2 linked regions of the Drosophila melanogaster genome follow. The protein of the gene in region 2 purifies or fractionates together with the protein of the main gene of each other region. This does not show direct contact. Each region holds a gene or a part of one and is shown on either strand. Other genes may lie near its edges.

What was found. The genes of interacting proteins can lie anywhere in the genome.
Region 1: the proteins of Urm1 (region 2) and Prx5 purify together in Drosophila melanogaster (affinity purification with western blotting, with the first as the bait; one study listed by BioGRID). This does not show direct contact.

Annotation. Positions count from the first base shown.
Region 1 is NT_033777.3:18,164,676-18,169,898, forward strand, and holds Prx5 (peroxiredoxin 5), read right to left. Parts: upstream 2,599-5,223; 5' UTR 2,504-2,598; coding exon of another isoform or gene 2,456-2,503; intron 2,397-2,455; coding exon of another isoform or gene 2,052-2,396; 5' UTR 1,788-2,051; coding exon 1,680-1,787; intron 1,486-1,679; coding exon 1,351-1,485; intron 1,221-1,350; coding exon 891-1,220; 3' UTR 767-890; downstream 1-766. Other genes in the region: Cbp20 (cap binding protein 20), read left to right, coding at 54-101, 157-374, 499-697; CG7215 (uncharacterized protein), read right to left, coding at 2,052-2,396, 2,456-2,503.
Region 2 is NT_037436.4:7,638,651-7,642,333, reverse strand, and holds Urm1 (Ubiquitin-related modifier 1), read left to right. Parts: upstream 1-1,887; 5' UTR 1,888-1,892; coding exon 1,893-1,930; intron 1,931-1,996; coding exon 1,997-2,064; intron 2,065-2,127; coding exon 2,128-2,209; intron 2,210-2,269; coding exon 2,270-2,318; intron 2,319-2,374; coding exon 2,375-2,443; 3' UTR 2,444-2,523; downstream 2,524-3,683. Other genes in the region: CG7506 (uncharacterized protein), read left to right, coding at 751-1,248, 1,307-1,519; Pura (Puratrophin-1-like), read right to left, coding at 3,297-3,493.

The sequences.
Region 1 (5,223 bases), on a different chromosome or scaffold from region 2:
CCGTCACTAAATAAAAGCAGAGAAAATATTTCAATAGTTTGTAGCTGAAAAATATGTTCGCATCTGTGGAATTAAGCTCATATCGCGATCAGCACTTCAAGGTGAGTACATCCGAAGGCGCCACAGCAGATCTCCGACTCAATAAACCAATTGCAGGGCTCGCGCTCCGAGCAAGAGCGATCGCTCCGCGACTCGTGTACACTTTACGTGGGAAACTTGAGCTTCTACACCACCGAGGAGCAGATCCACGAGCTCTTCTCCCGCTGCGGCGATGTTCGTGTGATTGTGATGGGCCTGGACAAGTATAAGAAGACGCCCTGCGGCTTCTGCTTCGTGGAGTACTATGTCCGATCGGAGGCGGAGGCGGCCATGAGGTGAGCCATATCCATCTCTCCACGCTAGAAAAAGCCGCCTTTTTTCCGGCATTTGTAGAAGTAATCAGATGGGGTATCATTATCTCTTAACTAACTTCAACACTCTTTTCTTCTCCCACAAAAGATTTGTGAATGGCACTCGCTTGGACGACCGTCTGATTCGTGTGGACTGGGACGCCGGCTTCGTGGAGGGCAGGCAGTATGGACGCGGCAAAACCGGCGGACAGGTGCGAGATGAATACCGCACGGATTACGATGCCGGCCGCGGGGGTTATGGCAAACTGTTGTCACAGAAGATTGCACCCAACACGGACAATCGCTAGTTATTAGATAAAATGACTGTAAAGACTATAAGCCCCCCAATTAGATATTAAAGCATACCCCTTAGACATAACATCTCTAATCGCATATATATTGTACGTTTTACATAGTTCTTTTGAAGACGTAATTGATATCATTGCGGCCTAGCATTAGCATGTATGAGTTTCTAGTGTTTTCGGGCTGACTGGATTCCATTTACTTCTTGCCAATGTTGTTGGCCAGCGAGCAGCTGAGTCCGGTGCCATCGGGCTCGACATTCAGCTCGGTCACCTTGCCGTTCTCCACCACCAGCGAGTAGCGCTTTGAGCGCACGCCGCCAAGTGGTGGCAGATCGATGGTCACATCCAGGGCCTTGGTGAAACCGCCGGCGGGATCAGCTAGGAGGCGCACCTTGCCCGCGGCTCCGTGCTCCTTGCCCCAGGCGGACATCACAAAGGGATCGTTGACCGAAACGCAGACAATCTCGTCCACGCCCTGCTTGGACTTCAGCTCATCGGCGGAGCTCACATAGCCGGGCAAGTGGGTCTGTGGGTGTGGGGAAATGCATTATTCAGTTGGAATACATAAGCTGCATAAATTACACTATACTGCTGGAAGTTTCTACAATATTCGGAAACTCAAAGCAGATGACTTTGCAACTATGCTACCTACGCACCTTTGAGCAGCCTGGAGTGAAGGCGCCGGGAACGCCGAAGATGATCACCTTCTTGCCATTGACGAGATCGCCGGTGTTGATTTTGTTGGCTGGCGAGTCCTCGAACAGATCCACCGATGGCAGGGAGTCTCCTACCTGGAAATAAAGTGGGAGGCAGACAGGCGTACTTAGAGAAAAGAGGCAGCAAGATGGAGGCGATAACCTTGAAACGCTGTAATTTCTGGGTGCCGCCGCAATCAATATTTATGCAGCTCGGCACCGGCTTATGTAATGGAATCCGGACTGCCGCACAGCCGGAAATCCGCGTTTGCCGGTCAACCTGCACTTACTTTCACCATAGCTGCACTGGTTTTGGACAGGGATCGCAGTGAAATGATTTGTTGGGGCAGCGCGGAGTTAACAACTCGGCCAAGAAATTTGCACGACAGCACACGCATTTCTCCTCTCTTTCTTCTTCTCACACACACAGGCACGCACGCACACAGCCAAAGACTGCAACTGGCCGGTGGAGCGTTGCCAGACCGTCGCAAAAAAGAATATGGGCCGTGTGTTTTCAGTCAAGTCTTAATTTTTACTACCTCATATTTTTTAGTTAGTTTGTTTTTTTAAAGGGGGGAAATAAAAATATTATGCTGTAAGGATAGACTTCCATCATATTTTTGGAGGGGGTGGTGGTGGTTGGTATTGGGTCTTCAATGGCGCTATGTGGCCGCTCTGTTGACTATGCTGTCCGCCAGTCTCTCCAGGTCGTCCAGGCTCTGCTCGTTGATTTTCCGCTCGAAGTCGGCCATAAACTCATTGGTCATACGCTCAGCTAGGGGCTCCGAATAGTGCTTGCGGAATCCCCGCAGGATGCTGTCCCTTAAACAGGGCTTTATCACCACCAGATTGAGTTTGGTGCCCTCCTTGATGTTGGGATATGACGCAATTGTCTGTTCATTGTTAAGCGGTCGCCCCAACAGCAGTAGCTTTTGATTTGTAGCCGATATCTGCAGTTCCGCCTCGATCTGGTGTTTCACCTCCAGAATCGTCGATGTCGGCGCCACCTGTGTGAAATATTACCATATTAGCGACCTCACTTGATTTTGGCAAGGTTCATTCTTACCTCGATGGTGCAGTCCTTGCCCTTCAGCACCTTGATTGTTATCTGCATAGCAATTGCCGTAAAATTTATTAAAAAATTAAAAGTCAAACTCGAGAAGTCGAGCGATATAAACAATCTGTCTTTGGCGTTGCCACCTGTATTGCCACCAAGTGTCATTAGGCCAAGCGGCCCTGGTTTGTAAAACAAGTGCCGCAATATTTGCTAATATATAATTTACAAAAATATTTCCTTATATTAATATATAGTACATATATATGATTCTTGTAAATTGCCAAATGTTATTTAAAATTATTAATATTTTAATGCAGCTAGCACAAATTATGTACAAGCTATCGAAAACCACTCGAAGTTATTATTTTACAAAATTAAAGAATAATGTGAGATCAACAATTAAATAACAGTTTGTAAACATTCGGTTTATTATAATTAATAATGATCTTTAAGTCTTTCGCATTTGGCAATAAGACAGTAGAGGAGAGTAAGGTATAAAGATAGTAAATATAAATAAGTAAATAGCATAAGCAAAAGCTCGTTTTAGCTTTTAAACGGAGTCGGTAAAATCTTCCTAAAAGTAACTATCGAGGGTCGGCTGGGTCAGGCAACGCCGCCGCACGCCTGCAGCCCTGGTAACTCTATTTTCTATTGAGCACCGACAACGTTGCGTGTATAAGACAGTTTACATAAATTATTATTTACAATTGCACAGAGCGTTGATGTTGTGCGTTCTAAGCGAAAAGGTGAACTTGACCCCGGTGCCGATAGACCGCCGAGCTATTGGGTGTGAAATTCGCGAGCGAGCCTTGTGGAATTCGCACGCGAAAATCGAAGCGAATCGCAGCGATCGAAGAAATTGCAGCGCAAATAATTCGTGTAGCCTCGACGACTGAATTTTAACGCGAGAGCGGGGTGTGCGTGTGTGTGTGTGCGCTGTGCTGTGATTCTGTGTGCGTGTGCAAGCGTTTTTGTTAGAATTCGCATTTTACGCAAAGAACTAGCTTTTATCAGCAGTGAACTTGATGTTGGCGAACCTATATCGCAGCAGGGCCAAATTGAACAAGTTCTTGCAGCTTCTGGCGGTAAATTGGCGAAATAAGACCCATTAAAAACCCCCCTCTGAAAATATAACCCACAAATTAACCTCGCCCCTTGACATTCAAAGTTATATTTGTTTCCCCACTTATATATGTGCACATATATATATATAAATATATATATATTTAATAATAATTGTGTGTTTGAGTCTTGGAAGTGCAACTACAACTATTAATCGTGCCTAGTACACATTTTACTTTTACGCTCTCGACTGTCTCCGTCTCTCTCCCTCTCTGTTTCACCCCTTCCTTGCAACAACAAAACTTATGAGTACTTGCTGGGTGCCCCAACAATACTTGTGTTGATGATTGCCCATCCTTGCACCTCCAAAAAGAAATGAAAAAAAAATTTGAAAAACACCAACACCACCCAAAAGCGCTCTTCCTTCCCCATTTCTATTGGCATGTCTGGCAACCCTGGCAATTGGTCGACGGCCATTGCTTCTCAACTTGTTGCTCGTCTCGCTTGCTCTCCTCTCTCTCTCTACTCTCTTTTCAAGTACGCTCTCTCTGCGCCAGTGTTTTGGCATTTTTGTTACTTATTTTCGTTTCGAGTATAGTTTTATGCGAAATGAACAATGCCAAACAATGAAACGCCTGAAGACCTGCATAAAGTGTTGATGCTAACATTTAAATGGGAATCCGAAATTCCACATCACCGACAACACCTGTCCACTTGGAAGTTACAGCACTAATCGGAGGAACGCTGCATGAACGTGTTTTCGGTACCGTTTAGAACCGGATTTTCTATGCTAGAGAATGAGAATATGATCGCGGTTCTGTGGGGACATCTTGTGACAACTTAGGAACTCCGATACGAAGCGGTTTTCCGCCATTAAGGCATTTCCAATTGGAAAGCGCGCAGCGAGAGATTCTTAAAGGTTGCTCCGTTTCCCATTGGTAATGTGTTGTTTACAGTTATGGTTAAGTTAATAGCAGCGTGTTTATGTAATATATAGATAATTCGAGTTATGCACGTTCCACTGTACAGTGATCAAAGGGAAAAGAAACAGTATTGGAATTTCCATGAAGTTGCATAACAAATGAGGAATAGTAGTGATGAGAAGATTCGTGGTAGATTTCAGTAAACCCTTAATTTACGTTGAGCGCCCCTCGAATGCGAATGTTAATGCGTGTGTGTGTGTGTGTGTGTCTGCTTGAGTGTGTTGTTTTGTGGCTTAATTGCACGGTGTGTTGTGATGCTATTGTTATTTTTCCTTTAGTTATTGCTACGTTAATTTTTTTCTTTCGACCCTCCACAGTGCAAATATAATTTTCAGATAGCAATCAACTGAGAGCGGTCCAGCCCGGCCTGTTGTATTTGTTTGTTTGTCCGGTTGTTTACGTTTTTTTCTCTCGTTCTCGCTGCTTTTCATACGTATTTTATATTTTGTAAAAATAAAAAATCGTTATAAAAAACCAAAAACACACATAGAGGAGAGCACATCCAAAGAGCCAAAAAGAGTCAGAACCGATTGCGTATTATGGATAACGAGGCGTTAGATCCAACAATAAAAAGCAGTACGTCGGCAGCGACGCCAACAGCAGCAGCATCAGAAACGACAACAACAGCAGCATCTTCAGTTGTGGAAACCACAACAACAATCGCGGCGGCCACAGCCTCAGCGGCAGAATCAAAAAACGAAACAACGGCCACAAACAACAATAGCAACACAA
Region 2 (3,683 bases):
CTAGAGCCACATCTGCCACGCCCCCACATCAGTGCCATTAATTCGAGCATATTAATTCGTATCCACATGCCACTCTTCCTTGTGTGTTTTTGGTTTTGGCATAATACCGCAAACGGGAAGCTCCCCCACTCACTTTTCTTGTTAATCAATTACAAACTGCAGTACGTACTCAATATTTGCCGAATTACTAGCTCTATTGTTCCGAATTGGTTGGAAAATCATTGGGAAATACAATCGAATTTTTTGGCAGCAATATCCTAAAGTAGGTCAACACTTTGAATAATATTTGCAAACGCCTTTCCTACCGTTTTAAGCGTGAGTGTAAGTGAATTTTAATCGATGTATAAGTGTTAAATAATCAGCTCCTAATTGGTAAGTACAAGTGTAATTATTATTAATTTTTATTTTTGTATTTTTTAAAGAGAATCTTATCTTATAAGATTGTAATATTGGTCGGTTTAATGTAAATTAATTTTAGCTTAGAAATGTTAGAATTTTAGGATTTTAAATTTTTAATATTTGTTTTTAGTATCAATAAGTAAAAATAGTCAGTATCGATTTAAATTTCCGTTGTCAGTGCAATGTTGCCGTTTCCTGTTTCGGTATTCAAAAGGAGAGTTGGTATATTTTGAATAGACGTATCGTTTCTGGATTCTTTTAGCGCCCAAGTGTGGGCCACACTGCAACTCGTGTTATTTAACGTTCGGCAAAAACAGCTGTTTATTTCTACTGAAATAAGTAAATTACACCATGTTAGGCCTGCGAGCGATGCTGCCAAAAGGGAAACACTTTGCTGTTGTCCTGGGAAATGTCAGCCGTCAGATTACCCTGCCCCACAACTGCAGATGCATTACTAGTGCCTCATGGACAAGACCACAGCAGTCACAACCACAGAACTTCCAGCAAAACAGGTGGCTTTCGGTGAAGTCGACGAAAACTGAATCCGACGATGCACTGCAGCGGATCTACTATGGAACTCTTGCGCCACGCATGAAAATGGTCAAGTTCTTTTCGCTGAGCACCAGCTTAGCCGGCTTGGCCGCCCAGCCCATTCTTCTCGAGCAGGGAATGAAAATCGGAGGAACTGGAATGGCCGTATTCCTCTGCACCGTCGGTGGATTCTTCACCTTTGTGACTCCTCTGCTGCTGCACTTTATTACCAAGAAATACGTGACGGAGCTGCACTACAATCCACTAACGGAGGAGTACACGGCCACCACAATATCCCTGCTTCTGCAAAAAATCAAGGTGGGTAGAGCAAATTTAAAAGAGCTTGCCTTCAATGTACATATTATTTACCTTTTAGACTACTTTCCGACCAAATGATGTGGTCGTTCCGGAGGTTCCCGGCATGTTCACCTCTTTTCTGGTCAACAAACGACCTCTGTTTGTGGATCCAGCGCTTTTCGATGATCCCGAGCACTATGTTAAGATAATGGGTTACGACAAACCGATCGATTTCAAACTGGATCTGACTCCGAATCCTGAAAAGTCGAAAACGAGCGAGGAGAAGCAATAAAAAAAACGCTCTTTATGATAACGTGTTTTTTTTAATTTCATAAATTCACAACGAAATGTAAAATGTCTTCTTAGAGCACAGATCATAATATGCTAATGAAAACTTTACCTAGCGTTCCATTGGAATGCCACCTGTTTATGTTTCTCAATGGGAATAATTATAATGCTGAGTCCCCTCGTCGAAGGTGAATGGTAAAGGTAAATTTACGTACAAATTATAATTTCTTTCAAAATGCAATAATTTTTGGAAGTTTAGAGCATGTGGTTGCCAGACTTTTTAGAAATTAGGATTCTATATTTGGTATTATTTTTGAATGGTGGATTTTTTTGAAAAGCTTAGACGCGGTCACACATTTATTTACATCGAACATATGATGGGCACGCCGGAATTAAAAATCATATTAGAATTCAGGTATATAAAGCCTTGTTCGAATTATTATTTCCAATAAATGAGACAATTTGTAATTTAATTTCGTAGTGCAGGGGCGGAGTTACTATTTGGTAACATAAAACGCCGTGAATTGAACTTGGACGGTAAACAAAAATGTATGTTCTAAAAGATGTTTTAAACTTGAGTGAAATCGGTTATGAATTATATATATTTTAAAGGGACTATTGCTAATCTGCTTAAGTGGATGCATGCGAATATTTTAACGGAGCGTCCGGAACTTTTTCTTCAAGGAGATACTGTGTAAGTTTGGCTTAAACTATAAGGGATACATAGTCTATACTTTCTATTGTATGTTTTCAGGCGACCTGGAATTTTAGTACTCATAAATGATACAGACTGGGAATTGCTGGTAAGTAAGAGTACAGAATATGGAATTCTAAAAACTATAATTAACTCAACTTCTAGGGTGAACTGGACTACGAGCTGCAGCCCAACGACAATGTGTTGTTTATATCAACTTTACACGGTGGTTAAAAAACGTTCTGGAATCTAAATTATAGGAGAAAAGTTTATTTTTATACTACAACCCATTAAATTGTATTCAAAAAACAAACAAAAACAGTTTTTGACTGAATCAGAATTACGTCCCTTTACCAGAGGCAAAGGCCCACACGATGGTTCGGGTAGTAAAGTTTTCATCATATCATCTAGAGATTGTAAGCTAGCAGGTTTTCGCTATTTATAAAAGCACAGCATTGAACAAGCACTTGGGAATTGTAGGGAAGTTAAAAATAGAACAATCCAGATGCGGTTTGGCGGGTAATTCGAAGTAAGGACAACACGTTAGTTTTACATTGAAGCAACATTTATTGAATTTAAATTTTCGCTTAAAATTATTTATCGAGTTATTATGAAGTATAGATATATTTTTTTAATGTTCGTTTACGATTATTTTAACTATAGGCACTTAGGTTACATATCAACTAACTGTACGTAATGAAGTTCGATTCAGATATGTTGGGCATCGGCCACGCCCCTTTTTCGGGTGCTGCTCATGGCTCCCATCGATTTCTGTGTGTGTGTGGTGCGGATCGTTCGATTGTGTGGACTAAGAACTAGATATGTATGAAACTTGCTTCGACATTGACACGCTGAATTCAATAATTTCGACTGATTTTTCCGATAAACAAGGCAAAACGAAAAGCAGCGACTATGACAAATTAACGAAAACTAAAAATGTAATAAATAATAAATAACAAAAATAATGAAATAAAATTAGCGATCGAACGTAATACGATGATACTACATGGGATCCGATGAAACCGTTCTGCTAAAGCTATTAATGGGGATTTATACTATATCTAGATGCGATGCTCCAGGAGCTCCTCTATTTGCCGCTTTCCGGACTGGCGGACTCCGCTGCGTGGGCGTAGGATCGATATCGCCGCAGGATTACCGTGGATGCACTCGTCGTTGAAGCTCCGGATGCTCCAGTCGTTGATGTGGACCAACTGCTTCGGCTGCTCTCCGCCGCCGATTGTTCCTGATCCGGGGTAACGCACATGTCCGAGACAATGCCGCTCTCTGAATGGGGGGATATTTACACATATTGGATATTATATTTCGGATTCGAACAGGTGGCGCCAAAGCGCCAACAACATATAACATGGATCTAAAAACATGCAGCACACGGACAGGCACGGATTACGGGTTAGGTTTTGGTGTTTGTGTTGGTGTTGGTGGGGGATTATATACAGTAATACTGGGGTGTTCT